Xenopus tropicalis: one gene and its partner. The protein of the gene in region 2 binds, or shares a complex with, the protein of the main gene of each other region. Links are inferred from orthologs where the notes say so. Each region holds a gene or a part of one and is shown on either strand. Other genes may lie near its edges. The genes, in order: fchsd2 and itsn1.

Region 1 (15,454 bases), about 160 Mb from region 2:
TTGCTGAATCGATAGACAAGAAACACCTACAAATGAGAAACACCTCATATAAACAATTTGTTACAAGCCCCGCCCATTTACCCAACATTCTGTGTGTATGTGTCACATGGTATCACCAAATCAATGCCATCACGCCTAGATATGAGAAACATCATATAAACAGTTGGTTACAGGCCCCTCCCACTTACCCATAACTCTGTGTATGTGTCACATGGTATCTCTGAATCAGTAAAGGCCAAACACACCAAGACATGAGAGATACTTGTTATAGGCTCCTCCCACTTACCCAGCATTCTGTGTGTGTCACATGGTATCACTGAATCAGAACACACCAAGATATGAGGAAAACCTTATGTATTCTACTTGTTATAGGCTCCTCCCACTTACCCAGCATTCTGTGTGTCACATGGTATCACTGAATCAGAACACACCAAGATATGAGGAACACCTCATGTATTCTACTTGTTATAGGCTCCTCCCACTTACCCAGCATTCTGTGTGTGTCACATGGTATCACTGAATCAGAACACACCAAGATATGAGGAACACCTCATCTATTCTACTTGTTATAGGCTCCTCCCACTTACCCAGCATTCTGTGTGTGTCACATGGTATCACTGAATCAGAAAACACCAAGATATGAGGAACACCTCATGTATTCTACTTGTTATAGGCTCCTCCCACTTACCCAGCATTCTGTGTGTGTCACATGGTATCACTGAATCAGAAAACACCAAGATATGAGGAACACCTCATGTATTCTACTTGTTATAGGCCCCTCCTACTTACCCAGCATTCTGTGTGTCACATGGTATCCCTGAATCAGAACACACCAAGATATGAGGAACACCTCATGTATTCTACTTGTTATAAGCTCCTCCCACTTACCCAGCATTCTGTGTGTGTCACATGGTATCCCTGAATCAGAACACACCAAGATATGAGGAAAACCTTATGTATTCTACTTGTTATAGGCCCCTCCTACTTACCCAGCATTCTGTGTGTCACATGGTATCACCAAATCAATGCCATCACGCCTAGATATGAGAAACAACAGTTACAGGGCCCCTCTCACTTACCCATCATTCTGTGTATGTGTCACATGGTATCACTGAATTAGTAAAGGCCAAACACACTAAGGGGTATATTTATGCTGTGTAAAAAGTGGAGTAAAGCATTACTGTTGATGTTGCTCATATCAGCCAATCAGATGTTTTGCTTTGGTTTTTTAACTGTTGAAATCTAATTGCTGATTGGTTGCAACATCACCACATGATAAATATACCCCTAAAGGTGGCCACATGTGGCGATGTCGCACGAAACATCGTCAGATCCGCCACACACCGTTCAGGGCTGAAACAGCAGATAAGGAGGTAGAAACAATAGGATTTCTACCTCCTTCTGCCGATTCAGCCCTGACGGCAGATTTCGGTCAGGCGCCTTCTATGGCGCCCGATCAAAATTTTCTAACCTGGCCGATCGGCGAATCGACCGATTTCAGCAGCTTCCTGCGATATCGGTCGACTCGCCGACATGCCATACACGCACCGAATATCGTACGAAACGAGGTTTCCTACATTATTATCGGTGCGTGTAAGGCCAGCTTAAGACACCAGAGACACTTGCACTTACCCAGCATTCTATGTGTGTGTCACATGGTATCACTGAATACATAACAACAAAACAAACCAATATAAGGAACACCTCATGGTATTCTCTCGTTATAGGCCCCTCCCACGTACTCATGATTCTTTGTTTTATGTAACATGGTATCACTGAATCAGTAACAACACACTAAAATATAAGGAACGCCTCATAAAAATCTGCTTGTTACAGGTCCCTTTTATTTACCCATCATTCTGTGTGTTACATTGTATAATTGAATCAGTAAAGGCCAATGTCAGTGTCTGTGTAACTAGTTGCATTATTATGTATAAGCTGCGTTTCATAATGATTTGCTGAGCTGCAGACCAATTTGCACCAATCCCTGTGTTCTGTTATCGACTTTATTTTCATGTATTTTTCTTTTAAAATATGAAGCATGCCCTGTCATGAGTAGCTGATAACCCGTCTCTGCTTCAGTTCCATTCTCCCTGCTCAGAAAGCGATTGTTACAGCGAATGAGCTTGTGCAGCTAAATATTGCATGTTGTATTGCAGAGCCGACAGCTGGAGTCTGAAACCGGCACTACAGAGGAGCACAGCCTAAATAAAGAGGCTCGGAAGTGGGCTACTCGGGTGGCACGGGAGCACAAAAATATCATCCATAGTCAGCGGGTAGGTACTCCATGACCACACTCCAAGGCAAAGTAAACCTGGCACCAACCCCAGGGGAATAAGGGGCTCATGGGGTACGGACTGAAGAGAAGTTTTAAATAAGATTATGAAAAATGTGTTATTCTTAAACTGTTTTAACCCAGTAATTTTGAGTTACTCCACTGGATGGGGTTACCACTGTCATACGTCAACCTCCATTATGTATAGACATAAAAATGCTTGCATTGCACAAATGCAGCCTCTGTATCAGCTCACATGCCCTCTATGTTTGCACAGAGATGTTCCTACCTCCCCTACAGCAACTACAAACAACTGGCCTATTGAAATAAACCTTTAAAAGGAAACGCATTTCATGCTTAAGCACTTTATTTATTCTGTTTACAGTAGAGGGCGAGGGCACACCTTATTGTGTACATTCCCGCTGTGCATATTTGCATGGATACTTTAGAAGTGGCTGATATATAATATTTGGCTTGCCTCAGGCATTCCCTATAAAGCTCCACGCTGCAAAGCTGTATTTATATAAGAGCAGAACATGTTGCTCTGTGAGGCAGGACTGCAGATGGGCAGTGACCATTGCAAGCTTTAGCTGTGAGTCTAAAGGTGGCCATACACAGGAGGATTTGCTCATTTAGCAAAGTCACCAAACAAGTGGATCTTTTCGTGATATGCCCACCTAAGGTGGCAAACGATTGAATTAAAACTGCGGGCAAAGGCGCCATCGGGAGGACCTGTTGGGGCTGCCCATACCCGGGCAGATAAGCTGTTGAATCAGTCGAAAGGACCCAAATCAGCAGCTGAAATCTGCCCCTGTATGGCCACCTTAAGCCAGTAATAATGAGCATTAGCTGACTGGCTTTACACCACAGTATCTGTGGTCGTAACCAAAGTTTATAGTCTATAGCAGGGGTCCCCAAGGTTTTTAGGGTGAACCCAGTAGGGGCTATGATTGGTTATTTGGTAGCCCAATGGGAACTGCCAGACTACAGGGGGCTCAGTTTGGCAGTATACATGGTTTTATGCCTCCAAAACCTGCCTCCAAATCAGAATTTTAAAAATGAGCATCAGCTTAGAAAGCCATTGGTGAGCCACTGGTTGGGAAACACTGGTCTACAGCCGGGGCCCCAACCTTTTTTACCCATGACCCACATTTAATTTTAAAAAGAGTTGGGGAGCAGCACAAACATGAAATGTGTACCTGGGGGGTACCAAGTATGGGCTGTGATTGGTTATTTTATGTGGACTGGCAGCCTACAGAGAATCTGTTTGCCAGTACAACAGGTTTTTATGCAACCAAAGCTTGCCTTTAAAATGAGCACCTACTTTGAGGCCACTGGGAGCAACATCCAAGGGGTTGAGGAGCAACATGTTGCCCCTGAGCCACTGGTTGGGGATCACTGGTCTATAGCCATAAGTCTATTTTACTAATGTCTGTGGGCCATGCTTTAGCTTAGCCAAGCAGTGTGGCAGCTTTCATTCATGCTTTAAGCAATATATGTTGTAGTAACACAGAAGAAACTCAACTGTACCCAATAGATGTACATCATTTATAAGAAGGGGCTGATACTGTGCGATAGTATATAGGTTATAGTAAGGTAACATACATATGGATGCCTTCTTGCTGTTGGAGAGCATCTTTCAGTGTCAACGCCAGGAAATATTCTGACATAGACTAATCTCCCCGAAATGCCATCCCACCAGCTAGAATGTAAATCTCCGGTGGGATGGCATACGCGGCGCGGTGATTTGCCAAAATTGCCTTGAGAGGAAACTTCGGCGATTTCGCTCCGTGTGTTTTCACCCTTAGTCCCACTGGCAAACAATACAGAGAGAATCCTCTTTAGCTCCTGATATTTAGAATACTTCTAATTCCTGCATCAGAGCAGTTGATTCCCCCCCTAGGCCTGATGTGCTGATCCGGGGAATACATAACCCACAGTACTGCCTGCAATCAGAAAATTGTACTACAACCTTCTGTCTCTTTTATACAGGCCCTGGAGGAGCTGGAATGTCAGACCACCCCAGTTTCAGAGCAGAGCCGGATGGAACTGGAACAAAAGATAGAAGAGACTAGAGAGAATATGCGCAAGGCAGAGGTAAGTTGTGCCATCTGTAACACTGGGGTAAATCGGGGGGCCAACAAGCAGTGCAGTTGTGTTGTGCTCCCAGATTTTAGAACTTTGCTTGCGCACAGAGGCAAGATTTGAAGCAAGAACTTGCAGCAAAAGTCACTGGTTGCTGATGAGTATTATGTCCCAGTAAGGGTTAAGGCCTTAGGCAAGAATATGAGGACTCTATCTGTCTCTGGTTTCACGACAAAGGGCAATATTCTTTGTCGCCTGATTCTCTTCCTCAGGTGTGACATTGTTTAGCGTCCCTGTGTCTGGTTGCTGCAGGGGTTAGGTTACCGTATGCCCTTTCAGATCAGAAACTTCAACACTTCATTGGCCTGGTTACTTTCCCATGGCTGGGGGAGGCTGTTTCGTAATGCACCTATGACTTTCTGGTCCGGTATTTCCCATACCTAGAGTGTAAAGTCCATAAATATTGGATGCAGATCTACCATCTGTACCGCATTGTTAAATAAAGGGGAAGTAAGAAAGATAATCTAGGCTCTAAATTGCCCTATTGCTGCTGCTTATACCTCAGATTCTTACTTTCATTATCTAACTCGTGTTTCCTTATCTAACTCGTGTTTCTCCAGTTTCCTTAATAAAGATTCACCCAGATCCATTTGGTTTTGCCCAAATGCTCCACGAGCAATTACAATTACTAGCAACCGCTTTCAGGGGGCATTTACAGCTGAGGGCACTAGCGTATCTATATAGGGGGCAAATCCAATGACCTATTTTGTGTTGCCTTTCTAATAAGGTCTATATTTGGATTTGTAATATAGCTGTGAGAACATTAGCAGCATGGTGGCACGCACATGAGGTTGCAGGAAGATACTGGATACCTAGGGCAGCTAATGATTATTTGTGCTTGATTAGACAGTGAGAATTGCCAAGCAAAAGCTCTACCCTCCTACCCTTTCACTTAACATGTAATTTATCTATCTGGTTATAAGTTACTTATCTGTCTTTGGTAACTGATGCCTTGTTATGCTTCATTATTGCTAAGTCTAATGTCCCACAGGGAGATTAGTCACCCACAATAAATTTCTGCTAACGTGGGCAACTGCTCTCCCCTAAATACTTTTCCACCGGCAGTAATGTGAACTGCCGGTGAGAAGGCATACGCATCACTAAGATGCCCGACGTTTCCTCGCAATTGGCAAAGCAAATGTCTTCCCACCAGGAAGCCAGTGATTTCTAATTCAAAATTCAAAGGAAATGTGTCCATAGAAATGGTTAGCACTGCTTCTGCCTCTGGATCCTAAGTTCCTTTGTGACCTGGAAACCATCTGCAAGGAGTTTATGCTTTTTCCCATTGTCTGTATAGGTTTCATGCCAGTACTTTAGCTTCCTCCCACATACCAAAAGCATACAAGCAAGTTAATTGGATGCAACAAGATTGGCCACGTGAATGTGATAGGGACCTTGGAATGTAAGCTCACTGGGGCAGGGGCTGATGGGAATGTGATAGGGACCTTAGATTGTAAGCTCCACTGGGGCAGGGACTGACGGGAATGTGATAAGGACCTTAGATTGTAAGCTCACTGGGGCAGGGACTGATGGCAATGTTATAGGGACCTTTGAGTGTAAGCTTCACTGGGGCAGGGACTGATGGGAATGTGATAGGGACCTTAGATTGTAAGCTCCACTGGGGCAGGGACTGATAGGAATTTGACAGGGACCTTAGATTGTAAGCTTCACTGGGGCGGGGACTGATGAAATATGCCACTATATAAAAAACAATAACAAATAATGTTCTATTCCTGTACAGATTACAAAGCTAAAAGCTGAAGCCCGACTGGATCTGTTGCGGCAAATCGGTGTGTCGGTGGACACGTGGCTGAAGAGTGCAATGAATCAGGTGATGGAGGAGCTGGAGAATGAGCGCTGGGCAAGCCTCCCAACCCTGATGAATAATGGCTCCTCCCATATGGTATAGTCACATTACCTCTATATATAATATAATATAAAATATATTATATTAAAATGCACCTTATTTACGGTTGCAGCTACAGTCACTGCAAAAAAATGGCAACCTGCAGCTCATGAATGACTTCTTTTTCTATTATTGCCCAGTGGGTTCTGTTCCAGCTGTTGCCAATCTCCTATTCGATTGGGCCACATATGTGCTGTCTCATGTGTGCTGGGTATATCATTTGGGTAGTTACTAATACTAAGATCCTTGTCATTCTGTGATTGCATTAAAATGGAAGTGAATTAGGATTTACAGTACTTACTGTAATTAAATCTCGCCATAAAACCACAGGCAGGAACAACCCAAAGCAATGTATTTCCGAGCTGCTGATTGTAAGTTAAATCTATTACCGGCCTATTGCCCTTTAACATGAGGAATTCTCTATATTACAAGTTAATGAGCCAGTGGGTGTCTCACCATAAATCATGCTCCCAGGTTATGAAACGCTGGCCGGCAGTCTGATAAACTGTCTGGGAGGCACCGGCCGATGAGTGGCACCTCATTTACAGCAAATGTAAATGAAAGGAACACAAGGCTGGGAATGTGTAGTAATTGCAGCGTGAGTCTCCGGTGTCACAAGGGGAGCGTCTCGCTTACTCATTAACTCCGGCTTCTTGTGCTGAAAGGCAGAATTCTCTAAATGCCAGTGCTGAAAACACTGCAGTAAATAAATAAAGTTGTACAGTTACACATCTGTTTAAAGAGACAGCAGGCCTTGTACCACAAAGCTTACAGTCCAAGCAAGATAGACACAAATACTGTAGAAGGGCAATAGGTGCTACCATTCATCGTGTACTATGGATATCTGTGGATTTGTCAGGTTTTACACTTTTTTACACTTCACCTTTAAGTATGTTATAGAATGACCAATTCTAAGCAACTTTTTAGTTGGTCTTCATTATTTATTTTTTATCGTTTTTGAACTATTTGCCTTCTTCTGCAGCTTTCAAATGGGGGTCACTGACCCCGGCAGCCAGAAACGATTGCTCTGTGAGGCTCCAGTTTTCTTGTTATTGTTACTTTTTTTTATAACCTTTTCTATCCAGTCCCTCTGCCATTCATATACCAGCCTTCTCATTCAAACCAGGCCTTGGTTGCTATGGTAATTTGGACCCTAGCAACCAGATAGCTGCTCAATCTCCAAACTGAAAAGCTGCTAAACAAAGTCAAATAACTAAAAAAAAAAAATACAAATAATAAAAAATAAAGTCCAATTACAAATTTTATCAGAATATCACTTGCTACATCACACTAAAAGTTAATTCAAAGGTGAACAACCCCTTTAAGGTGAAGAATAGCCACAGCGTTAGGTGTGTTGTTGGTTTTGATGTTCCCCCGACAGAAGGCCTGATTTCTTTGGTTGTTTGCTGACAGGGAGGCACAGATGTGGATCGGGAGGATGGAGAGGAGTTGGAGGACAGCATGGATGCCTTTGATGACAGCAGCTCCAGTCCTTCTGGCACCCTACGGAACTATCCGCTGACTTGCAAAGTCATCTACTCTTACAAGGTTTGTGTGAGTTCTTGTATCCACAGGCCAAATCACCAGCAGGGTTCACCATGGGGCATCTGGCAAGTTATCAGGGTTGTACAATAAGTGGTGCTGGAACCAGTGCTAAATAGGAGTTGTGCTTTAAACAGCAGAAAATGCCATGAACAATACTGAGAATTGCCTCTGCAAAACACACAGAGATAATTATCAGTAAATGATCAGCATTGTCTTTTTTAGTAGCCACGACAAGTAGCTGCTACTAGTAGCTCTGTGTGTCTTCACCCATAGCCTTATAAATGTACAATATTCGCTGTTGCTTCTGGGATTTACATCTGAAGGAAAAAGAAATCATATCTGCCCAAGTACTGTAACATCAAAAAGAACTATATTGCCAGGTTTCCTTTATCATGGTTAAGTCTGTAGGGCAGACTGATTGGACACTATGGGTTTTAGACCTAGGGCCAACTTTGTTCTTGTTACTAAGTTTCATCCTAAAGTATTCATTGGGATCTGGGTATAGAATTGATTTTCTGCTGCCAAAATCTCTGCCAACCCCTGGTAAATGGCAGCAGGTTCTCTATAGGGGCTTCTCTAATCTTTAACTGCTCGCCTTGTAGGCCTCTCAGCCTGATGAGCTGACTATAGAGGAGCACGAAATGCTAGAAGTGATTGAAGATGGAGACATGGAAGACTGGGTGAAGGTACGTTGGTCAGACACATTATATTGGCCACAGCAAGAATATGTATTGATCATTAAAACATTGTAGTTGCTTTAAAATGTATATCAGATATTCTATGTACTACTGAGTCATTGCATACCCTATTATTGTGCACCCAGAATAAATTTGGTATTTATATCTATGGGTGGGAGGCACCATATTGTCTCTCTTTAACATTGCAGTTTAAGGGTATCTAATTGCATGCACGGAACATCACCTTTGTATATTATTTTTTTACATAATGCCATATAGGTTATGTCTGCTAAGGCATTCTCAATAGACATTGAGTAAACCGCACTTTGATAGCCTGGCTTGGTTTCCAACAAAGTCCGTAGGAAACAAACTGTATTGTGTAAGGGTGTAAGTACCCAGATTTTCAGGGGATACTGGTTGGTAGTGTTATACTGTATGTCTCCCATTAACTCCCATTGAAGCCAAACAGATCACAGGGTGAAGTGCTATATTCACAAGGCTAATGAGATTATACAACGTGTTTGTCTCCTTGGCAGGCGAGGAACAAGTCGGGGCAGGTGGGGTATGTACCAGAGAAGTACCTCCAGTTTCCTGCATCCAACAGCCTACTGAGCATGCTCCAGTCCTTGGCTGCACTCGATAGTCGCTCCCACACTTCCAGCAACTCTAACGATGCTGATATGGCCTCAGGGAGCCTGAATGGAGACACCAATGGTAAATCCGCTTTCCTGCTACTTTATGTTCCCAATCAATGTTATTAATCATTACTCTTTATTTCCAGTTTACAGTGCCCTCCTCAGGGGCATTTGAGCTTTGAGGTTTTGGCAGCTTGAGCTATATTTTCATTTAATAGGCCTTATAGGCCAGTAACTTGCTGATATTCCTATTGCTAGGCCACACTGGCTACCCTCCCTTTCAGCATTTTGACTCTGCATTTTCTTTGTTCCTCAGTCTGTTTCGTGAAAGCACTTTATGAGTACGATGGCCAGACCGACGATGAACTGTCATTCCCAGAGGGGGCGATCATTCGAATCCTGAATAAGGAGAACCAGGACGATGATGGATTCTGGGAAGGAGAATTCAACGGACGCATCGGGGTCTTTCCTTCTGTGTTGGTGGAGGAACTCACTGGGTCTGAAAATGGAGACGCCCAGTGGTTTGGCGATGTTCAGGTAAGCAACATTGGCTAAATAAGATGCTATATTTTTATTTCTTGGCTCAGCTGCTCAACAGCACCCTCTAGAGGCCACACACACTATAGCTGGCCATGAGCTCTGGGTGTGGGAGATTCTCTAAATATAGAATTCACTACTAAATATAGAGAAGATGATTTAACTGTCGGCACGTGTAACCTCTTGTTCACAGTGCTGGTCTCCACCCTGGGAAATGACTTTTCTATAGATGCCATAATAACTACCCTCAGAACAGGGGTGTGCTACATATAAAGCAGCTTTTGGGCAGGAACGGATATATCTTCTTCCTCGAGTTGCACCTTTCTTTTTATTTAGAAGCTGAACCACAGATTTTTTTTGCAGCAGGAAGAAGAGTTCCTACATCTAACTTGATCCTAGGCTTGTAAAGGCTGATGGGAGTTGTTGTTCTGCTTTATTGCCCCCTTATAAACATAGGTCAAAAGTATTTTTCTTTTATCCAAAAAATATTTACTTATTTTTGTTTCCCAGATATCGCCATCTCCGAAGCCGCAGAACTCTCTTCCCCCGCTGCCTCTATATGACCAGCCTCCCAGCAGTCCCCTTTACAGCCCAGACAAGAATAACGCCCAGTACTTTCCTCGCTCGCCTTCTGGGAATGGTAAGTATCTAACTCTTTCTATTAGTAAGTGAAATAACAGATATTTTGCCTTATCAGTGTTGTAAACCCTATCTGCCAAGTTGGGCAGGCTCATTTAGGGTGAAGTATTAAAGGAGCAATTTGGTAAGAAATAGGGATGCGCCAAATCCAGGATTTGGTGTGGGATTCAGCCAAGACTTTATCTTTTTTGGCAGGATTCTGATTCGGCTGATTCTGATTCTGGTCACATGAACAGAAGTAAAAAAAAAAAAATGTAACTCTTCCATAGACTTACTTGCATATGCAAGTTATCTATTTTTTTAATTTATTAGGAGTCCAAGTTGGTACAATTTTTGCCGACTCCAGGTACCCACAATTGCTTCCAACTCCACAGCTCTGTATAAAAAAAAAAAACAATGCAGGAATGATCAATTCTGAGTTTGATCTCAGTATTTATTAAAAAGCTCTATATTTCTTTCTTTGTTTAGAAAACAACATGAGTTTGGATTCCCCAGGGACGTCCCACCCACCCAGAAGCATGCCGGAGACTTACCATAGCAAGCTGCGCCCTGTAAGTTATCTTTTCTTCTATCTAGGTTCTCTGTAATACTGATGAATCTAGTTATCTGGACTTACTACTGAAATCTGTCTGCTTCTGTGTGCATCTACCCAGCAGATATTTAATTTAAGAGTAGCTAATGTTACATTAGGCCATCTGCTGGTAGAAGGTAGTATAGCGGTTTATATGAATTACTCCTTAAAGACACACACTCTAACCCGTATTGCTCCTCCAATCACAGGTGCGCGCTGCCCCTCCACCACCCACGCAGGCACAGAGGCGGCCGGCCGAGAAGGCAGAAGATGTCGAAATAACGTTGGTGTAACCACGGGTTTCCCAAACTCTGCTGACATCAAGGCCAAAGGACCTGTTTGGTCGAGACGTTCAGGCACCTTCTGCATGTAGCGATCCATGTCATATCAAGGGAGGAGGATTTTCTACGGCCGCGGACTTACATTGGACATTTTGTGCCTTTTTTTTTTTTTTTTTTCTTCTTTTTAATATAAATGTTATCAAGCCTCTTTTAGCACAAGAAGCAATGAGGTTAAAGTCGTGCAATGTAGGTGAGATCAGCTTTGTACAGAACGGCAGGGGCGTCCCTTACCTGCTTAACATTAGATGGAGACGTTGGGTACCCGTGGATACTGTTAGGCAGTAGCCTCTTCTCTGCACTGAATATTCCTTCTCTGCATGTTTGTACCTGGGAATGGGTGATGCCATAGTGCTTGCCTCTGTAGACTCATAATTCATCTCCTTGCTGTTCTAGCGAAGCTGGCAAGCAAAATGGCAGCACTTGCTCTAATATATAAAGGCTAACAAGCAAATATGTAATTCTGCTTATAAAGGCACCCAAGAAAATGTTGACCATCAGTCCGCCATCTTCTGTTAAGCAGTTTGGGCACCCCTGTTCTGAGCATAGACGAGCCCCGCAGAGGTTGCACCAATGAGGACGCTTGGAAGAAGCACCTCCCCCGGCTCCTGTGCCAAGGCTGTAGAATGACCCAATACATGCAGCATAGTCATAGAATACTTCTATCATGCGCGTTAGTACAGTATATTACTGTTGCCATAGGAATGTGTTAAGACTGTCCGATATCTCCGGTTCTCTGTATATTGAACGGATACAAACTCATGGCACCTCCTTCCTGCCCCCAGAATCCCGCGGTGCATTGCAGAGCAAAGTGCTGCCAACGTGGCAGGAAAGGAAGGTGAATTCAGACTAAAAGGGGGGGCTGGCTCCTCTCGATTTTATTCCCGATGATACATAACACTGTACCGTGTCTCTGCCCATTTCTTCCATCATTAATCATTCAGATACTATGTAACAAAGTGATGTATGGATATTTAAGCAGCTCCAGAGCTTTGGATAGTGTGAGTCTGAGAACCCACTCTGTAACTTGCACGCCTCTTTCTGCTGTTGGACTACGTTTCCCAGCATTCTCTGCTGGTTGAAACTCCCGGGGCCAAAGGCTCTGCCGGACCATAGGAAGCATATATATATATATATATATATTTCAGAGGCTTTCTCTTATCTGCTTGTACTTTATTTTTCTTCCTTCTATTGGAAGCACTTACGGTGCTGCTTGTGTAGGCAAATGACGGAACTCTGCAGAAAAGCATCCTATCAGCATCTGATTGTAACTGTTTCCCATTCCTGCTCCCTTCCGACTTCCTGACAGATTTCCTGACTTATCTGGGACTCTTCTTATTGTTTATTTCCCCTTTATCTCTCATTGGATGAATGCGACTGTGCTCACAGACGCCCCTTTACTGGCGCAGAGGATCCATGGGCACAACTGAAAAGCAAAGAGCCAATCAACACATGGATTTTTTTTTCCGGCTATCTGAATTCCACGTGTTCTGTGCCAACCTGGCTGAATTAACTGCTTTTGTCCATTAAAAAAAACACAAATGGAGGTACTGGTGACATCACAGTGACATCATTGTGACATCATTATACGCAAGCAAGTCTCCATAAGCGTTTTGCACCTTGTGGTCTTAAAAAACATGGAGCAGAGACCACAGCCGGGTCCGGAACCAAGTCCACCAGGGGATAAACCAGTGACGCCAGTATACGATGATAATCCACGTGGGATTCGTTACGTCTAAATTACATTTAATTACAGTGCAAATGTTTTAACCCTGTATATAGGTTTTATTGGAAAAATCCACAGATCGATGAAACTCTATTTCCCCCCCCCCCCCTATTATTTTGTGCCAATTGTAATTTAGGAACATTGGCTCCGCCCCCACACCCCGACCCCCCCCTGTGCTGATTGTAGAGAGCAGAATGTATGTAAGTGGTTGGCCGGCGTGGCGCCAACTGATTGTGCAAGGCTTTTTTTTATAGAGCCAGGATTTTCCTTGTGCAAAGGAACGGCCGTGTTGTTCTAGGTTGATCATTGTTCTAGGTTGATCATTGTTCTAGGTTGATCATTGTTCTAATGCTTGAATGGTATCTTCTTGGAAGATTCACTTTAAAAAAAAAAGAAAAAATATCTTATTTCCCCTCGTTCGTGTCTTATTTTCTTGTCCCTTTATCGACTGCACCTTCTGTAAATGTGTTTATCCGACACGATTTGTACATTAATCCTATAGAATGGAAACGGGACTGCAAGTCCCAGCATGCTTACCCCAGCTGAGCTGGTAGGGGATGCTGGGAATTGGAGTTCCTATTACAGCTGCAGTGCTATTAACTTGTGTCTCTCGGACCCCAGCAATCTACCAACCCCTGTAGAGGATTCTGGGAGCTGTAGTTGCAGCAACCGCTCGAGCGGCACCAGTTAGTGATCAAATTTATAGGCTTGGAAATGGGTCGCCTTCCTGATATTGTCCAACTTCCAGCATCGGGGCAGTGATTGGACAAAATCTAGGAAACGCCCACTACTGCCTAAAGTCGCCCAAACCCTGTTATCCCCCAGTGGCCCTATATCTTGTAATTTCCTCTACTGTCGGTGGGATAGACAGGGCCCCCAGCTTCTCTTCTGTTAATCCCCGGCCAATTCTAGTCTATTCATAGCAACGGTTTTGTCAAAACAAGTGTTATTTGAAGAAAAAAAAAAAGAAAAGAAAAATCTTTATATTTAAAAAAAAAAAAACAAAAAACGGAAAAAAAACATTTCTGTATGAGCTGCTACTTTATTTAACAGAAAGATGTACAAAAGCCTCTTTTTAACCTCACGTAGGACATTTAACCCATTCCCGCCATGTACAGTGTCAATACACCCTTAAAGCAGAGGTGCAATTCTTCTTTGTATTGGCTGTAAAAAGTTTGTATTTATTATGTATAAAAATGTTGAATAATAAAAAAGTGGAATATCTCTATCCGGCCTGCTGTGTCTTTCTATTGGTGGAATAGAGCCTTGCTATTTGTCCTCATTTTTTATTATTTGTGGGTAATATAAGAGTTTTTGTTCAGAAACTCTTCAATTACAGCAACTATCTGGTTGCTAGGTTTTGTTACCTTAGTAACCAGGTTATAACCTGGTTAACCTTGTTATTATTTGTCCTCATTTTTTATTATTTGTGGGTAATATAAGAGTTTTTGTTCAGCAACTCTTCAATTACAGCAACTGGTTGCTAGGTTTTGTTACCTTAGTAACCAGGGAGTGGTTTGAATGAGAGACTGGTATACAAATAGGAGAGTACCTGAATAGAAAAATAAGTAGTAAATAGTAAAAATAACAAAATTGTAGCCTCACAGAGCAATCGTTTTTTGGCTGCCAGGGTCAGTGACCCCCATTTGAAAGTTGGAAAAATATACAAAATAAATAATGGCCAATTGAAAAGTTGCTTAGAATTGGACATACTGAAAGTTAACCTAAAGGTAAACCACCCCTTAGACAAAGGTTGATATTTCGGATACAGTAGATAGTTACAGATAGTTGCCTTGTCAGTAAATGAGAAAAGACAAATGGGTTGGTATTAATACTTGTGATACAGAGTTGCCCCAGGGACTGACTTGGTAGCCATAATGAAGTCAGGGAGGAGTTTTTTTCCCCATTGGTGGCAAACTGGAGACGACTTCAGACTTTGTACCCTGGCCCAACAGGAATCTAGGTAGAAAATATAGAACTTTATGGTTGTGTGTCCTTTGTCAGCCTTGGCTACTAATATGTATCTTCCATTTCTGGCAGTTGATATTGTAAAAGATTAGCTTTTATACGTGTGGTCCTTGCAGTACCTCCTCTTGCCTGTTTTGCCTTCATATCTACCATAGGCAGCAGTGGAACAGCACCCCCATCTGTGATTTGTGCTGCACCCTGAGGCTTAGCTGACTGCCCCTATGTTTTAACCCATTGTACAATAATATTCAAGACCCTTATGGTTAAAAGGCCCCTATTTATTATACCATTTGCATTTGCCAAATATAAAGTCTATTTGCAGATTCTGCCTTGCACTGAAGTGCCATTGTCTCTTTCCCAAACTTCACTCCGCTCACAAGCAGGGGCTGAGTCCTGTTGGCCAAAATAGTGCAGTGAGGACATTTAGAGGTTAAAAGGATTGTTCACCTTTAAAGTAACAGACAGTGATATTCTGAGATAAATTGCAATTGG
Region 2 (15,976 bases):
TCCCAACTAAGATATAATTACCCCTTATTGGGGGCAGAACAGCCCTATTGGGTTTATTTAATGGTTAAATGATTCCCTTTTCTCTGTAATAATAAAACAGTACCTGTACTAGATCCCAACTAAGATATAATTACCCCTTATTGGGGGCAGAACAGCCCTATTGGGTTTATTTAATGGTTAAATGATTCCCTTTTCTCTGTAATAATAAAACAGAACCTGTACTTGATCCCAACTAAGATATAATTACCCCTTATTTGGGCAGAACAGCCCTATTGGGTTTATTTAATGGTTAAATGATTCCCTTTTCTCTGTAATAATAAAACAGTACCTGTACTTGATCCCAACTAAGATATAATTACCCCTTATTGGGGCAGAACAGCCCTATTGGGTTTATTTAATGGTTAAATGATTCCCTTTTCTCTGTAATAATAAAACAGTACCTGTACTTGATCCCAACTAAGATATAATTACCCCTTATTGGGGGCAGAACAGCCCTATTGGGTTTATTTAATGGTTAAATGATTCCCTTTTCTCTGTAATAATAAAACAGTACCTGTACTTGATCCCAACTAAGATATAATTACTCCTTATTGGGGGCAGAACAGTCCTACTGGGTTTAAGTACTGTTTAAATAATTTTTTAGCAGACATAATGTAGGAGATCCGAAAACTCCAGGTCCCGAGCATTCTGGATAATGGGTCTCATACCGGTACCATTAATCCACTTTGCCCCTTCCCAAGACAGGAGGTGTCACAAGCAAATGTGTTAAAGTCCCAGTGCAAATGTTTGTGGGAATGACCAAGTCCCATGGAATTCTGTGACTCAGTAAATGCATGTGAATAGGGGAACCTCCAGGACTAAAACTGCATTTGTTTGTAGCCTATACATGAAATTAATTTTATCTAAACAAACGAAAGTTAGCCGTCAACTTATCAAGCAGGTATGAAAGTTATAAAAGGAATAGTAGGGAATAAGGAGAAAATGACAAAACTCTGTAAATCACTTGCACTCTTTTCAGCATCACCCACACTTTCCTTTGCTTCAGGATAGTCTTTCTGCCTCATTAACCTCCAATTTCCATGAGAATCCCCCAGTGCCTGCGATGTGGCCTTCCTTTCATTCAGCCCTTGCCAAGCTAGCCCTACATTTTAGTGAGACATCAATAGAAAATGCATCTATTCCAGGCAGAATTAAGTAATGACTACAGCATTAACAATGTTTTTGTCTTTGCGGTTACATTTCAAACACTGCTAATCCCTCTAAACATCCTCCATGGCACCACTAACCGTGCCAGTAATGTAGGGCAGGAGTTCACGCTGGCGGATACAGCCGGTCTGCGCGGCTAAAGCTAGGGGGAATTATGTGAAACTGATGAAAAATATTAGTTAGAGACTTGTACATCTGCCCACTGGGTATATGAGACACACACAAGGGCCACTGCCATGATGGGGCTGCTTGTACTTCTTACCACCATTCATACTGCACATGGAATCTACTGCAGGACTTGCATTTGCTCATTAACCACCTTTCTGCCTATAACTGCTTACAGGGGAACTCTGCCTTCCCAACCAAAATTTGTTAAAGAGCCCCACGCAACACAGAAACCCCTAATATACCTATCACTGTAATCTGTTCCTTCAAAAAGTATGAATAAGTACCATTTTATATGCTGAAATGCAGCTGCAAAACAGTTCTTCTCTTTCTGCATCATTTGAAATCCTGGCAGGGGAGGAGGGACTAAAACATTCATGTAACAAATTGTAACAACTTCTCCACAGCGTACGGACAGCATGCAGGAACTACATAGCCCACAATGCCTTGCAATGTGATGTTCCTTTCCTTATTGACATCACGTGTGCAGGGAATTGTGGGATTGGGAGTAGGCAGGCTGAAGGCAGGCTGAGGACAGGCGACTACTGTTACATTGTATTTGAGTCTCAAAGTAGTCAGCCAGATCAGCAGGGGAACAGGGGGCGGCGCTTAGGGAACTGTTCTAAACCATATTATTAAATAAAAAAATCATGTAAAGATTGTGTATTTTTTTAACACTAAAGTTGCTTGAATTATGTTGTGTTTGGGTGGAGTTCCCCTTTAAAACAAGCCATACATGGTAAAATCCACCAAAGACGTGGATCATGGCCACTGACACTAGGGACGGGCCAAGCCGACTGGGTGCCCTAGGCAACCCGTTCGGCTACCTCGCCCCTGCACCTACATTGCGCACCCCCCCCCCCCGGCGCAGTGTACGATGCAAAGCAGTGCAGCACACAACTGCTGATCGCGTACTGTACTAGGGGTAGGCAGGAGAGGCTCCTGCCTGGCGCCCCCCAATCGTTGTGCCCTAGGCAGCTGCCTCTTCTGCCTACCCCTAATTCCGGCCCTGACTGACACAGTAACCCAAATACAATCATTTAGCACGCAGTGATCAGAACTCATCATTGTGGTCGATTGTCATCAGGAGATAACCCACCGATACAGTCCTTGCCAGACAGGATTTTAAACTTGGGTTGGAACCCTAAAAAAGTGCAATCCTGGACTTGTGCAGGGTCCCCCAAGGAAAAATAAAATGAATGAACACTATTATAATTAAGTTGCGTTTCCAAAATTGTACATTATTTTCACAAAGCATCATGATTAAGAAATATTTTGACTCTATTTTGGTTGCTACCAGTCCCTGTTCAATCTATTTCCAGCCCAAAACAGAGAGACAAAGAGAAGATCCATCTACTGTAACCCAGGAGATAACATTTACAGGCCCATTTATTAACACTCTCATTTTAGTGGTTTCGAAGGTTTTTGAAACCGCAACTAGATTCTCTTTATCTAAAAGTCATTTATTAAAAGATAAATTGAAAAGGCATAAACAAATGTAATTGTGGAACGAAAATGAAAAGAACACGAAAACCACACATTTTTTGTGGTTGTTACGTTTTTCCACACATATTCACAGACTTTCAAATGAAAAAAACCTCTAAAACCACAAACTAAATATACAATCTGCCTAGAACACCTCCCACTTGGTATTAAACAAATCACGTAAAACTAATCCAAGTGGGGATAGCCACTGCCAGCTGAAAATGCCATAGCTAGATGACAGAGGGAGGCATTTAATTAAGCAGCTTTTATTAGGTATTAAGGAATATATGTGTAAGAGATTGTTTAATACAGACATTGAATGCAGCATTGTGTCATTCTTATTACTCACAGAATGTAATATTCCTAGAAGGCTAAAGAGGCCTATATCAGAGCACAGTAGAGAGTGACCTTGGCTCGTTCTGCAGTTTGTTGCCTATGATTTATCCATATCAGCTGTTTCCCATATAGCAAAATTAATCATGATCCATTTACATCTGGAAAGCAATCAGCCTTGGATTCCACCGCACTGGAATTATGGTACAAGGCCAACTTGGTTTCACACCAGTCACTCAACGGAGAACTCCTACCAGGAGAAAGGAAAAGATGCCTGAAAAATAACCAAGCAAAGCTGACCACACACACAGTTTTCATACAGACTAGATGATTACCATTAAGACTATGAGCCAACCTACCAAGCCATCTAGCTGATATCGGGGTGTGAATAAAGGCACGGAATAAAGCCGCAAGGGTGCAACCAAACCACAGGTTTGAGAACAGGTATGAGAACAGTAAGGCTGATGCCACACGTGGCGTTTTTACGCTGCGTATTTTCTAATTCTCTCGGTGGCTGAAAAACGCACAATATCATCATCCATAGAAATAACTTGAAAAGACTTGAAGGAAACCACACAATGTGTAAATACGCTAGAAAACGCCTTACCACAGATTTTTGAAGCGTTTGCCTTAATACGCCGTTATTTGCACAGCAAGCTATTCCTATGTATACACAAAGGCAGCTGCCAGACCTAGCGGAAATGCGCTGCGTTTTTGACTATTTCGCACTATTAACACCATGGGAAACGGGATTTGCTACGTCACCAGTACTAGGCTGAAAAACGCCATAGTCAGGGGCTGTGTGGCTTGTGCGGCCTTTTTAGGCTGAGAAAATACGCAGCGTAAAAACGCCACGTGTGGCATCAGCCTAAGGCCACCCATGTATATCACCAAACTGTACCAATGAGCATCCCAGATCAATGTCCTCAAATTTAATCCATCTATGAAAAGCTTAAGCCTAGGAGAATGTTCAAAGCAGAATGGGCCAAAACCTGCAATATCTTGCGATATAGAGTGAATTTAGGATAATTTGGCAACCTCGCCAAGCGAGCGGATATTCTTCCGGTATCCCCACCTACGGGGGCTAATTCGGTAGTTTGGCCCTGGGGAACACTGAAATAGGCGCATTTCAGGCCAGATGTTGGTCAGGCAGGCCCGTCATTTGTGCCCCTACACGGGGCAATAAGCTGCTGAATCGGTCTAAGGGACCGGTATCGGCAGCTACAATTGGCCCGTGTATGGCCACCTATAGACTTGTCCCTTGACAATAGGCTGCTGATCCCTATTAATATGCTGATGATCCCCCCAATGGCACTCCTATAAGAGGTGTGGATTGGAGACTGGGTGAAACAAATCAAAACAGAAGAGCTTAGAATTGATCTGGCAGAGTTACATGGAGTTATACTCCATTTTGAAAACGTCACAAAAAATGCTGTTAAAATATTGTTTATAAGACAAATCCACAAAAGTGTTTGTAAACTGTCTTTCTTTCATCAAACACTGAAAAGTGGTGGTTGAGTTGGAATTTAGGCAAATTTCTGTTTGGCGTAAAACACTTTCTCCATATTCAGTTTTACCACCACTTTTACTCCAAATAAAAGGGCTCTCTCCAGTTTTGTGAATTCCCCAAAGTATTACAGGCATATTATTATTATTATAATCAATTACAGAGCACCAATAGATTCTGTACATGAGCACAACAACACGAGGGCTCTGAGCACAAGAGCTTACAATCTAAGGGACACACCTGTGTGTAATAGTTGGTGGCTAATTTCTCCTGCAATATCACAGCTGAATAATCACAATAGTAAGTGAATTGGAGCCATAAAACCTGAATGTGAAAACCTCTCACAGCTGTTCAGAGACAGAACCCACATCGATCTGTTTAATTAAGAACATTCTTTCTGTTTAGACACTTCTTGTGTGCACTGGCTACACTAGGCTCCCGAATGGACAACATTAATGTTTGGGAAAAACAAAGCAGTGTATATTGTTGGCAACAGGAATTGACCAGTGCCCACCAGTACCCTGGTGTCTGCTTGGGACACGAATTTAAATGAAAGCCTGAACAGAATATTAAAGGGGAACTAAATTCTCTATCGCCTTTTACCCAGTAGTGCCCCAGCGCAGTACCAATCCACAATCGCATCGATGAGTCTCCAAAAAAAAAAAACCCTTTTCCCCCATACCTGCAGGCAGTGAGACAGGTGGCTGTTATGTTAGGCTACGCCACCCCTGGCTGAGGTTCCCCGACCGCTAACCAAGAGCGCAGATACTGGAAACTTTCGTTTATTGGACCTGATTGCCTGTCAGTGCACATAATACTGCTCAGAGATAAGCATCATGGAACCTGCGAATGAAACTGATGCAGCCAACCAAGGCATCGCCCACCCTGCTATACCGCTCTGTATTTGGCCAGAAGGTAAAGGAAAACATATGGTAAAAATTCCACTGCCTAAATAATGTTAAAAAGTAAATTTCCCTTTTATTTTTTCATAGCATATTTGTTAAGAATAAGATACACAGCAAATAATGTACTCCCTATTGTAAAATATAACAATATCATATGTCACCAAGGAGTTCTATTACCATATAATGCTTTTATATAGGTCATGGAACTCCAAGGTGACTTATAGTATCTAATATTTTACAACAAGGGGTACTTTATTTGTTATAATACACAAGTTTCAACAAGTCATTTCACACAAATTATATCACTGAGCATCAATTATGACTGATGAGATCACTAAGCATCATTTATAAGAATCTAATTGACAGGATATTCATGGCTCGTGTATTATAACAATAGCCCACACAGGTAACCTCAGAAAAATAAAACATCCTGAGACATTAGATATATACCCCCTACATGATAAAGGAACTACGTTTGCTCAGGAACAGTAACCTATAACAACCAATAAGATGTTTGCTTTTAAACAGGTGACCAGTAAATGCAACCTGTTGATTGGTTGCTATAGGTTACTGCACATGGGCAAACTTAGTGCCTTTTATTACATAACCCCAATAGCACCCACAAGGAACCTCAGAGAAATAAAGCATCCCGAAACATCCCTATTAATATTAAATAACTGGGGCTTCATTTATCAACAACTTATCTGCCCGTGTAAGGGCAGAAACGAGCGGGCTGGCCGACCGATATCTGGCCTGAAATTGGCCAGATATCGATCGGCCAGGTTAAAAGATTCAGTCGGATCGGCTCGTTGATGCGGTCCCCGAACCGACTGCCCCATTGCCGCCTAAATAATATATTTTTTTTAACTTCAAGCTCCCCGATATCACCCACCCGTAGGTTAAGATCTGCTTGTTTGGCAAGGTCAACAAGCAAGCGGATCTTCTCCCGATATGCCTACCTACGGGTGGGTGATATCAGGCTAATTCTAATTCCCTAGGGTCAAATGAACGCATAAAACGATGGGCATAGGCGCTGTCAGATCGGGGGCTGCATCAATGAGCCAATGAGGTCCCCAATCCAATGGAAAAATCAAACTTGCCCGATCAAGAGCTGGCCAATTTTAGGCCAGATGTCAGACGAGGAAGCCCAACGGTGGTGCCTATCCACCAGCAGATAAGCTGCCGCATCAGTCTAAAGGACCAATATCGGCAGCTGAAATGAAATCAGCCCGTGTATGGGCACCTATAGTCAATACATCCAGTTAACAAGAAGGGATAAGCTATCAGAGATGCAATCTCAGCAAACATTTTTTAACCTGCATTCTTGGTGTGCAATTAGACTGAGGTAGCTCAATATTTCAAAAGAGAAGAATTTATATTGGTTTTACTCAGTATGTTACATGCTACAGACTTAAGCTGGCCATACACGTGGCGATCTGACCACCGGTCGCACGAAACATCGTCAGATGCGCCACACACCATTCAGGGCTGAATCGGCAGGTAAGGAGGTAGAAACAATAGGATTTCTACCTCCTTCTGCCGATTCAGCACTGAAGGGAGATTTTGATCAGGCGCCTTCTATGGCGCCCGATCAAAATTTTCTAACCTGGCCGATCGGCGAGTCAGCCGATATCAGCAGCTTCCTGCGATATCGGTCGACTTGCCGACATGCCATACACGCACCAAATATCGTACGAAACGAGGCTTCGTACGATAGTATCGGTGCGTGTATGGCCAGCTTTAGGGGGCCATACACGTAATGATTTGCTCGTTTGGCAAGGCCGCCAAATGAGGAAATCTTTCCCCTGATATGCCCACCTTGGGCTAAATGATTGCTTTGCAATGAATAAAAAAGGAAAAGTGGGAGCGAGAACTGCATCAATGAGCAGATGCGGCCCCTGATCCAACGAAAAATGTTTGCCCAGGTATCAGTCGGGGAAGCCTGTCAGAGGGTCCCATACATGGGCAGATAAGCCGGACCGAATTAGCCCGATATCGCCCACCCGTAGGTGGGGATATCAAGAGAAGATCTGCTCGCTTGGCAACCTAGCCAAGCAAGTGAATCTTACAGTGTATGGCTACCTTACGTCTGTAAAGGTTACAAATAGAAGCTGTAATTGCCATACTCTAGAAATGGAGACATAATACTGCTAAAGATGAATCAGTAGTGTATATGCTTGCTGCTGCAATGAAGCCAGAATTCCCCCCATACATGGAATGTTGCTCTGCAACTACAGGCTGATCCGTTGCTGTCCCTGCCACACATGTTTGTGCCTCCTAAGAGCAGTAACAAGGAAGAAGCTTCCCCAAGGCTGATAAAAATCTCTAACATTTCTGTGGGTGTTAAAACATGCTATTTCATAGGCCCTTCTGTTTCTTAGAAATATATCCAACCCATAACTCATGTTTAGCTACAGGTGTTTCAAATACGGGGAAATTTCCCCATAAACAAAGAGCACAGCACCTACTATGGATGGTAATGGACTACTATGGTGCAATCTTTGTCAATCTTAATTTTATCATGTTTGATGTATGTTTGCACTATTGTACACTGTTGTGAACAAGTTGTGATAATCAGCAAGAGCGTTAGGAGCTACTTAGTAGCAGCTACTTGTCACAGGTACTAAGCACCAGAAAATACCTGCTAATACTTAGAATTGCCTCTGCTAAAACACACAGACAATTACCAGTTAATATCAGCATTGTCTATTTTTGTAGCCATGACAAGTAGCTGCTAATAGTTATTTGTCTTCACCCTTAGGGCTGTGGCACACGTGGAGATTAGTCTTGAGATGCCATACGCGTCGCTTAAGTTACTTAAAGTCACTCGAAGTTTCCTTGTGAAGCAACTTCGGGAAACAGAAGCGACGCATATGCCATCCCACCGGAGATTTACATTCTTGCTGGTGGGATGGCATTGCGGGGAGATTAGTTGCTCCCAGTAACAAAGATTTATAGCAGGGCGACTAATCTCGCAGTGTGCCATTGCCCTTAGATGCAAAAAGTGAAACTACCTGGGATACCATACCTCCACTGATGGAGAGTCCAATGGTGTAAAACGCGTTAGGAGGGAGGAGCTCAGAGACCATGGAGCACCAAGGTAGAGACCTGCATCAGGTTGGGTACCTGCAGGATACCCAAAAAGTGTTCGGAACTCGTCCAGAATCGAGTTATGTCGACACTTGAGGTCAACGCAACTCCTTCTGCTGGAGCAGGTCAGGCTTAGGGCAAGCAGGTACAGGTTGGGTGCGGGCCTGAAACAAACAGACCCGGCAGGTCTTTACACTAAGGCACCTCTGTCCATTTGGTCTGGTCAATTTTTTTACATTTTGGATACATTGATGATTTTTTTGTGCACCAAATAATCGTTTCACGTGTGACCCTACTACCTGCATTACAACATGGTTTATTCAGGGTCTGGGGCAGTATTCACAAGTGTATCAGCTGGATTATTCTGAAGTACTTGTTACAACTGATTGTTGCAAATCCCACAAAGCAGTAGATGTTTTTCTTAGTCCAGTATAGTTAGTTTTGTTATAGTTCAGAGAGTTATATTGTCATGTAAATATTATTAACTCAAGTTTATAGCTAGGGCTATTATAAAGGGGAGATCTGCCTGTTTAATAAGCACTTCATGCTTGTTCCAGAACACACCTAAAGGCATAATGTAAATTCATTTATACATTCTACCTCTGGTCTGGTTTACCTTTAAATTAATTTTTAGTATGATTCAGACAGTGATATTCTGAGACAATCTGCAACTTTTTTTTTTTTAATTATTTAGTTAGCTTCTCAGTAAACCTCCAATCTGGAATGTCAGCAGCTATCTAGTAAAATTTACCCTAGCAACCAGGCAGTGGAAAACTGGAAGATGACTACGGGAGAGACTAAATCGAAAGATAAGTAATTCAAATACTAAGGGGGAGATTTACTACTCCATGAACGGTCTGAAGGTGTCCGAATGCGTTTTTTCGTAATGATCGGTATTTTTGCACCTTTTTTGTATGTCCCACGATTTTTTTGTCGCCATTGCGACTTTTTCGTATATTTTCTGCGACTTTTTCGTCGCCATTGTGAAAAAAATCGGATTGTTTTTTCCGCCGTTTACTATCTCTCAATATGAAAAAATCACGATGGCGATGAAAAAGTCGCAACAATTACGATAAAGTTGTGACGGCGACGAAAAAGTCGGATTTGTGGATTAGTAAATCTGCCTGATTTTTAGAAGTGTACTTACGAAATGGTCAGTTCTAACCTTCACCCATTGATAAAAACGTTTTTTTTTTAAAAAATGCCATAGGAATGAGAACATGGGTGAGTTTTTATAAAACTCACCCATAAATCAGATAAATCTGTTGCTTACTTTTAATGTAAACTACCCCTTTAAAGAGGCAGCATGCCCCCTTGTTCAACATTGGTGATATTAATAGGGCTTGTGCTGAACATAAGTTTTGCCTATTGGTTTAACCATGAAAAATCTATGTTTTCTTGTTATTTCTTCAGTTAAACCAGGGATCCCCAAGCTTTCTTACTCATGAATCACAGTCAAATATAAAAAGACTTGGAGAGCAACACAAGCACCATAAAAGTTCATGGAGGAGCCAAATAAGGGCTGTGATTGGCTATTAGGGGCCTCTATGCACCCTATCAGCTTACAGGGGCTTTATTTGGTAGGAAATCTTGTTTTTATTCAACCAAAACTTGCCCCCAAGTCAGGAATTCAAAAATAACTCCCTGGTTTGGGGGCACTGAGAGCAACACCCAAGGGGTTGGGGAGCAACAGGAAAATGGGAGCAGCTTGTATACTGAATCTAATTATCTACCTTGCAAACTCCCTGTTTCCGCGTAAAAAAAAAAAATTACAACAAAAAACAGTTTTTCATGATGTAAACAATAGGCTAAAAGTACAATAAGCACAAGCTCTGTTCATTGCACTTATGTTGAACAAGAGGGTATACTGCCCCTTTATGATATTGTGGTAAACTACAATCTGTCCCAGACTGCGGGTATCTAAAGCGATAACCAGCTGAAGTAAAAACTCATCACATTCTAAAAACAGGAAAAACCCATCACACTCTAATAACAGGATGCAACTTACATGTTTTTATCTGTCCCTGACGATTGGCAAAAGGTCGGAACACGAATGGTTAGTAGCGAGACTATTTCGAAATACGACCGTACAATGATCTCTAATGTTGGTAGTACACCAAATTACTCAGCACAGCCAACAGCAATGAAAGGACAAGCAATGAATGAATAGGAGTACAAGCCAGAATAGGGTGGGTCGTTCCTCACAGAGGATCCCTTCATAGGGAGAATGAGAAAGTGTACGAAGCCCAGATACCACGATTGCTCTGAAACATTAGCTGCTTGCGTCATGTCTCCTAATCCAGCGCTGCACGTTATCACTAGGAAGGAGGCAATATAAAAACCTGCCAAAGCTGTGATGGGAGCGGTGACCTACAAACATGGGGGGGTGGGGTCACTGTGTAAGGGGGTGAGACTTCCCATATAGCCAAGCCTTTTCATCATTTATCAAACATTAGAGCTTCCACAACAGTGAGGAAAAACTAGCACAAGTGCCCCCCAACCTGCTCACAAGAGCTTACACTCTAGAGCACAGAAATTCCCCTAGGGCTAACCATCTAGGTGCAAGTACAGGTATGGGACCTGCTATCCAGAATGCTCAGGACCTGGGGTTTTGCGGATAAGGGATCTTTCCATAATTTGGATCTCCGTAACTTAAATCTCCTAAACATCATTTAAATATTGAATAAACCCAATAGGGCTGTTCTGCCCCAATAAGGGGTAATTATATCTTAGTTGGGATCAAGTACAGGTACTGTTTTATTATTACAGAGAAAAGGGAATCATTTAACCATTAAATAAACCCAATAGGGCTGTTCTGCCTCAATAAGGGGTAAATATATCTTAGTTGGGATCAAGTACAGGTACTGTTTTATTATTACAGAGAAAAGGGAATCATTTAACCATTAAATAAACCCAATAGGGCTGTTCTGCCCCCAATAAGGGGTAATTATATCTTAGTTGGGATCAAGTACAGGTACTGTTTTATTATTACAGAGAAAAGGGAATCATTTAACCATTAAATAAACCCAATAGGGCTGTTCTGCCCCAATAAGGGGTAATTATATCTTAGTTGGGATCAAGTACAGGTACTGTTTTATTATTACAGAGAAAAGGGAATCATTTAACCATTAAATAAACCCAATAGGGCTGTTCTGCCCCCAATAAGGGGTAATTATATCTTAGTTGGGATCAAGTACAGGTACTGTTTTATTATTACAGAGAAAAGGGAATCATTTAACCATTAAATAAACCCAATAGGGCTGTTCTGCCCCCAATAAGGGGTAAATATATCTTAGTTGGGATCAAGTACAGGTACTGTTTTATTATTACAGAGAAAAGGGAAATCATTTATAAAAATTAGAATTATTTGTTTATAATGGAGTATATGGGCAATGGCCTTTCCATAATTTGGAACTTTCTGGATAACAGGTTTCCGGATAAGGGATCCCATACCTGTACATTGGCTGAAAATCAAAGTGCTGAGACTAAATGACACCTTAGAAGGCAACAGATTCCTAAAAAATGAATACCTGGGAAACGCACTTCAAACAGAAATTGGACCGCCCTTACCAGGAGGAAGGATAGATAGATATAGATCATTTTTACATTACAATTCATGATAAATATGGCACTGCTACTTAATTTAAATTCCATCTAAAATCCAAATAATAATGACAAACTGAAATTTAGGAAACACATATTTTTAGCTATAATGCCTATTGCCCTGATCCTGTATACATACATACATAGCAGTAAGCCATATTTGTTCAGAGAGGTGCCCCTCTATATGACGGTTTATATATACAAAGAAAACCATGGGGTCTCAATGCCTATGTAAGTCAATGTACTGGCCCCCTATAGAAGCATTACAAGGACCTTGGGTCAATAAAATGTGTTTATATCTTTTGTAGTTATTATTAGTTGAAGAATATGCAGTTGTAAGTAGGTTTCCACTTTATGTTAAAGCTCAAAGTTTTGAGTAAATGTAATTGCTTTTCAGGCAACATTTATGTGTTTAGCCTTGACTTGTGAAACAGTGTTGCAATGTCACATCTGCCCAGGGTTCTGCTACATTGTTTCAGGAGTCAGAAACACAAGGCATATAGACAGAAGGATGCTGCTGTTGGTAGCAGATACATTGTATTAATGAATTGGTAGATGGCTATGCCATTCTCCCTTGGGTGGAGCCCCCCAGCCAGCACTGCTTGTCTCCCTAGAGTGCTCCCCTATGTTGGTTTATTCCATTGCAGGACATCAGCATGGGGAAATCACTGACATACAGAATTGCAAGCATTGCCATGTAATTAACTGAATCCCCAAATCCCATGTTGGCCGCCCAACTCCATATCCCTCAGCCATTTGCCGAGCCATTGGTGGCTGCAGCTGTTCCACCCCGCACATAATCCAGGCAAAGCATTAATCATATTTAATGGTGATAATAATGCGCCCCGGCACAGCTCTCACCTCATAGCGGTCCTCCACCCTCTCCTCTGCCACAGGGATTAGCACCGGCTATGTCCAATACGGCTCCCCTCTCAGACAGCTCGGCTGTATGGCAACATGCCCTCTGCTTCAGCGCCCCTCCTCCCCTTACTACTCTCCCAATGCCCGTGTCCGTACGACTCTCCCCTTGTGCCTGTAGTACAGTGCGGATCCCCTCACCCCGCACCGCCGTCCCCTCCCACCAATACTACGCACCCACACCACCAACCCGCTTTCTGACGTCACGCGGTGCCGGCCCAATCAAAAACAAGGAAAGACACGCCTATTCTGTAGCTTCAACCAATAGTATGCCGCGTTCTTTTTCTCCCTGCCATTCAATGGGTGTGGTGTCGTCATCACGCCAGCGAACTCCTCACATGACTCACACCGCTGGTGTCTACGGCGGCCATTAGCCTTGAGGGCGCTAACACTTAAACCTTTATGTGAGGGGTAAAGCATAGCATGTGACAAAGACAGATTGGAAACATTAATCCAGAGATAGGGTTGGGCAGAAAGGACGTTATAAGGAGCTTCCAGCCTCGGGAAGGCTATAGATACATGTCTATGAAGATTTTCATTCATCCAGGTCATGGTATATCTAGTATAAATAAATTTGAAGCAACTGAGAACTAAACAAGTCCAGTTGCTTCAAATTTATTTATGCTATAGATACATATTACCTATTCTTTAGTTGAGCAACTGTGGATTATGCAGGGTGCGATTGATTCATTTATGTAAACCACTTTGCTCAGACACAGATAAGGGTAAAGACACACGGAGATACTTAGTAGCAGCTACTAAACTCCAGAAAATACCCTGCCATAGACAATACTGAGAATTGCCTCTGCTAAAACACATGTAGAGACAATTATCAGTAAATGATCAGCATTGTCTGTTTTAGTAGCCGTGACAAGTAGCTGCTACTAGTAGCTCCGTGTGTCTTTGCCCTAAAGGGGCCCAAGACATTTTGCATTTTTACCCTTCACTCAGGAGCTTTGCACTGACTATGAAAGCAATACTTCAGCAATAAGGTTTCAAAGAGCTTTATTGAAACCAAGTTCATAGTAAATTCATAATTAACATTTGTTTCACAGAACATAAAAACATAAAATCATGAATCACAACACAGTTTTTATAAAAAGATACAGAGTACAATAAAAAAAAATACTTCAGAAATAAGGGATACAGAAAGAATGCGTTAGATTGGCAAGACAGATGTTGAGGTTAATATGCCAGGCCTTAAGATGGCTGCCGTAGCTATGCGTCACATGACAATGATGCGGGGGGACTCTGCAGAAGGGGCGCTGCTGAGCAGGGTCAGGGTGGGTTGTGCCGTCTGGCTCTGATTCTCCTCTGTTCCATAGATCCCAGGCGCAGGGAGAATTGGGGGGATCTTATAGCGTAGGGGTGTTAGGTTGAATAATGGAATGAAGGCGTTGTGGAAGGATGTTGGCTGTGTGAACATTATAAGGTCAGGGCAAGAAAGCTGTGTTCTGTGAGTAACAGGCCTGTACAGAATCACAGACTCATGATAGGCATTATGGGGATTGGACTCTTGGCTGGAAAATGCCTGGATACCCCTACGTTGTTTAATGGTACAGCTTAACAATAGAGGGAATAGCGAGGGTCAGAAAGACCACTTTTTAAAAGCAAATGCATTTAGAAATATGTCTGTCACTAAAAAGTTTACATTTTTGTATATTGGAAAGTTGTTCGGAATTCCTTTTTGTATTTGGGTGATTTTCCCCTTTAACCATTTATCTGCCATAGATCATTCACAAATACCTGACCTCAAGTACTGGACCACCAACACCATAAAACATATATTTCCAGGTTTTGTTCTGTTTTAAGTAGGTAATTCCTATTATTGTTATTGGGGTTCCTACCATCTGCACAACAAAACTATCCATCTTTATTAACAACTTGTTAGTCCTGCTGAATCCATTCCCCTGAGAACTTATTCTTCCCATGTGTGGGCTGTTTAAAACTGCCATCTTGGCCCATTTAGACTGAGTTGGCAGCTTACTGTCATGTGGCCAGCTTTACAGTTATATGGGGGAATGTAATATAGGTCACAATGCAAGGCACTAGGGCCAAAAGATCAAATTAAGATGGCAGGTATATGGGCCATCAGTCCGAGGACTGCATCAATGAACCAATGGGGTCCCTGATCCGATGGGAAAATCAAACCTGCACTATTGAGAACTGGCCAATTTTAGGCCAGATAATCGATCAGATAGGTCCATCGGGGGTGCCCATACATGAGCAGATAAGCTGCCGAATCGGTCTGAAGGACCCAAATCATCAGCCTGGGGTAGCTGTGAACCTGTGATTCTCTTCCTTCTCTCGTCTGTCCTTGAAATCCCGGAGCGAGCACATGCCCAGTAGAGAGGAAAGCCATATTTTTTTTCTAACGTTCAGCTTTAGACTCTACTGTGCAAGTGGCGCAAAGTCAGAGTCTAAGCTTTCAGAAGGAGCCAGCACTACACATTAGAACTGCTTTCAGCTAACCTATTGTTTCTCCTACTCCCATGTAACTGGAGGAGTCCCAAGCCGGACTTGGATTTCTTACTATTGAGTGCTATTCAGAATATCTACTGGGAGCTGCTATCTTGCTCCCTTCCCATTGTTCTGCTGATCAGCTGCTGGGGTTGAGGGGGGGATATCACTTCAACTTGCAGCGCAGCAGTAAAGTGTGACTGAAGTTTATCAGACCACAGGTTACATGGCTGTGGCACCCTGGGAAATGAAGAATATGGCTAGCCCCATGGGAAAAACCGATTACAATGCAGGATTCTGCTGG

Evidence for each region.
Region 1: the proteins of itsn1 (region 2) and fchsd2 are in contact, whole or in part, in a crystal structure (PDB 6GBU), measured with the Homo sapiens proteins. The link is inferred for Xenopus tropicalis from reciprocal best matches to the Homo sapiens genes ITSN1 and FCHSD2. Residues at the interface, in NP_003015.2 of Homo sapiens: Pro1076, Ile1078, Gly1098, Leu1100, Leu1102, Gln1117, Ala1118, Arg1119, Gly1120, Lys1121, Lys1122, Arg1123, Leu1136, Ser1137, Pro1138; in NP_055639.2 of Homo sapiens: Tyr576, Gln581, Thr582, Asp584, Glu585, Gln602, Asp603, Asp604, Asp605, Gly606, Phe607, Val618, Pro620, Val622, Leu623.

What each region holds. Positions count from the first base shown.
Region 1 is NC_030678.2:172,215,096-172,230,549, reverse strand, and holds the end of fchsd2 (F-BAR and double SH3 domains protein 2), read left to right. Parts: intron 1-2,159; coding exon 2,160-2,276; intron 2,277-4,267; coding exon 4,268-4,372; intron 4,373-6,161; coding exon 6,162-6,323; intron 6,324-7,739; coding exon 7,740-7,874; intron 7,875-8,473; coding exon 8,474-8,557; intron 8,558-9,084; coding exon 9,085-9,262; intron 9,263-9,499; coding exon 9,500-9,720; intron 9,721-10,230; coding exon 10,231-10,360; intron 10,361-10,827; coding exon 10,828-10,910; intron 10,911-11,139; coding exon 11,140-11,223; 3' UTR 11,224-14,222; downstream 14,223-15,454. UniProt on the Homo sapiens protein: Adapter protein that plays a role in endocytosis via clathrin-coated pits. Contributes to the internalization of cell surface receptors, such as integrin ITGB1 and transferrin receptor.
Region 2 is NC_030678.2:14,136,783-14,152,758, reverse strand, and holds the start of itsn1 (intersectin-1), read right to left. Parts: upstream 13,390-15,976; 5' UTR 13,156-13,389; intron 1-13,155. UniProt on the Homo sapiens protein: Adapter protein that provides a link between the endocytic membrane traffic and the actin assembly machinery. Acts as a guanine nucleotide exchange factor (GEF) for CDC42, and thereby stimulates actin nucleation mediated by WASL and the ARP2/3 complex.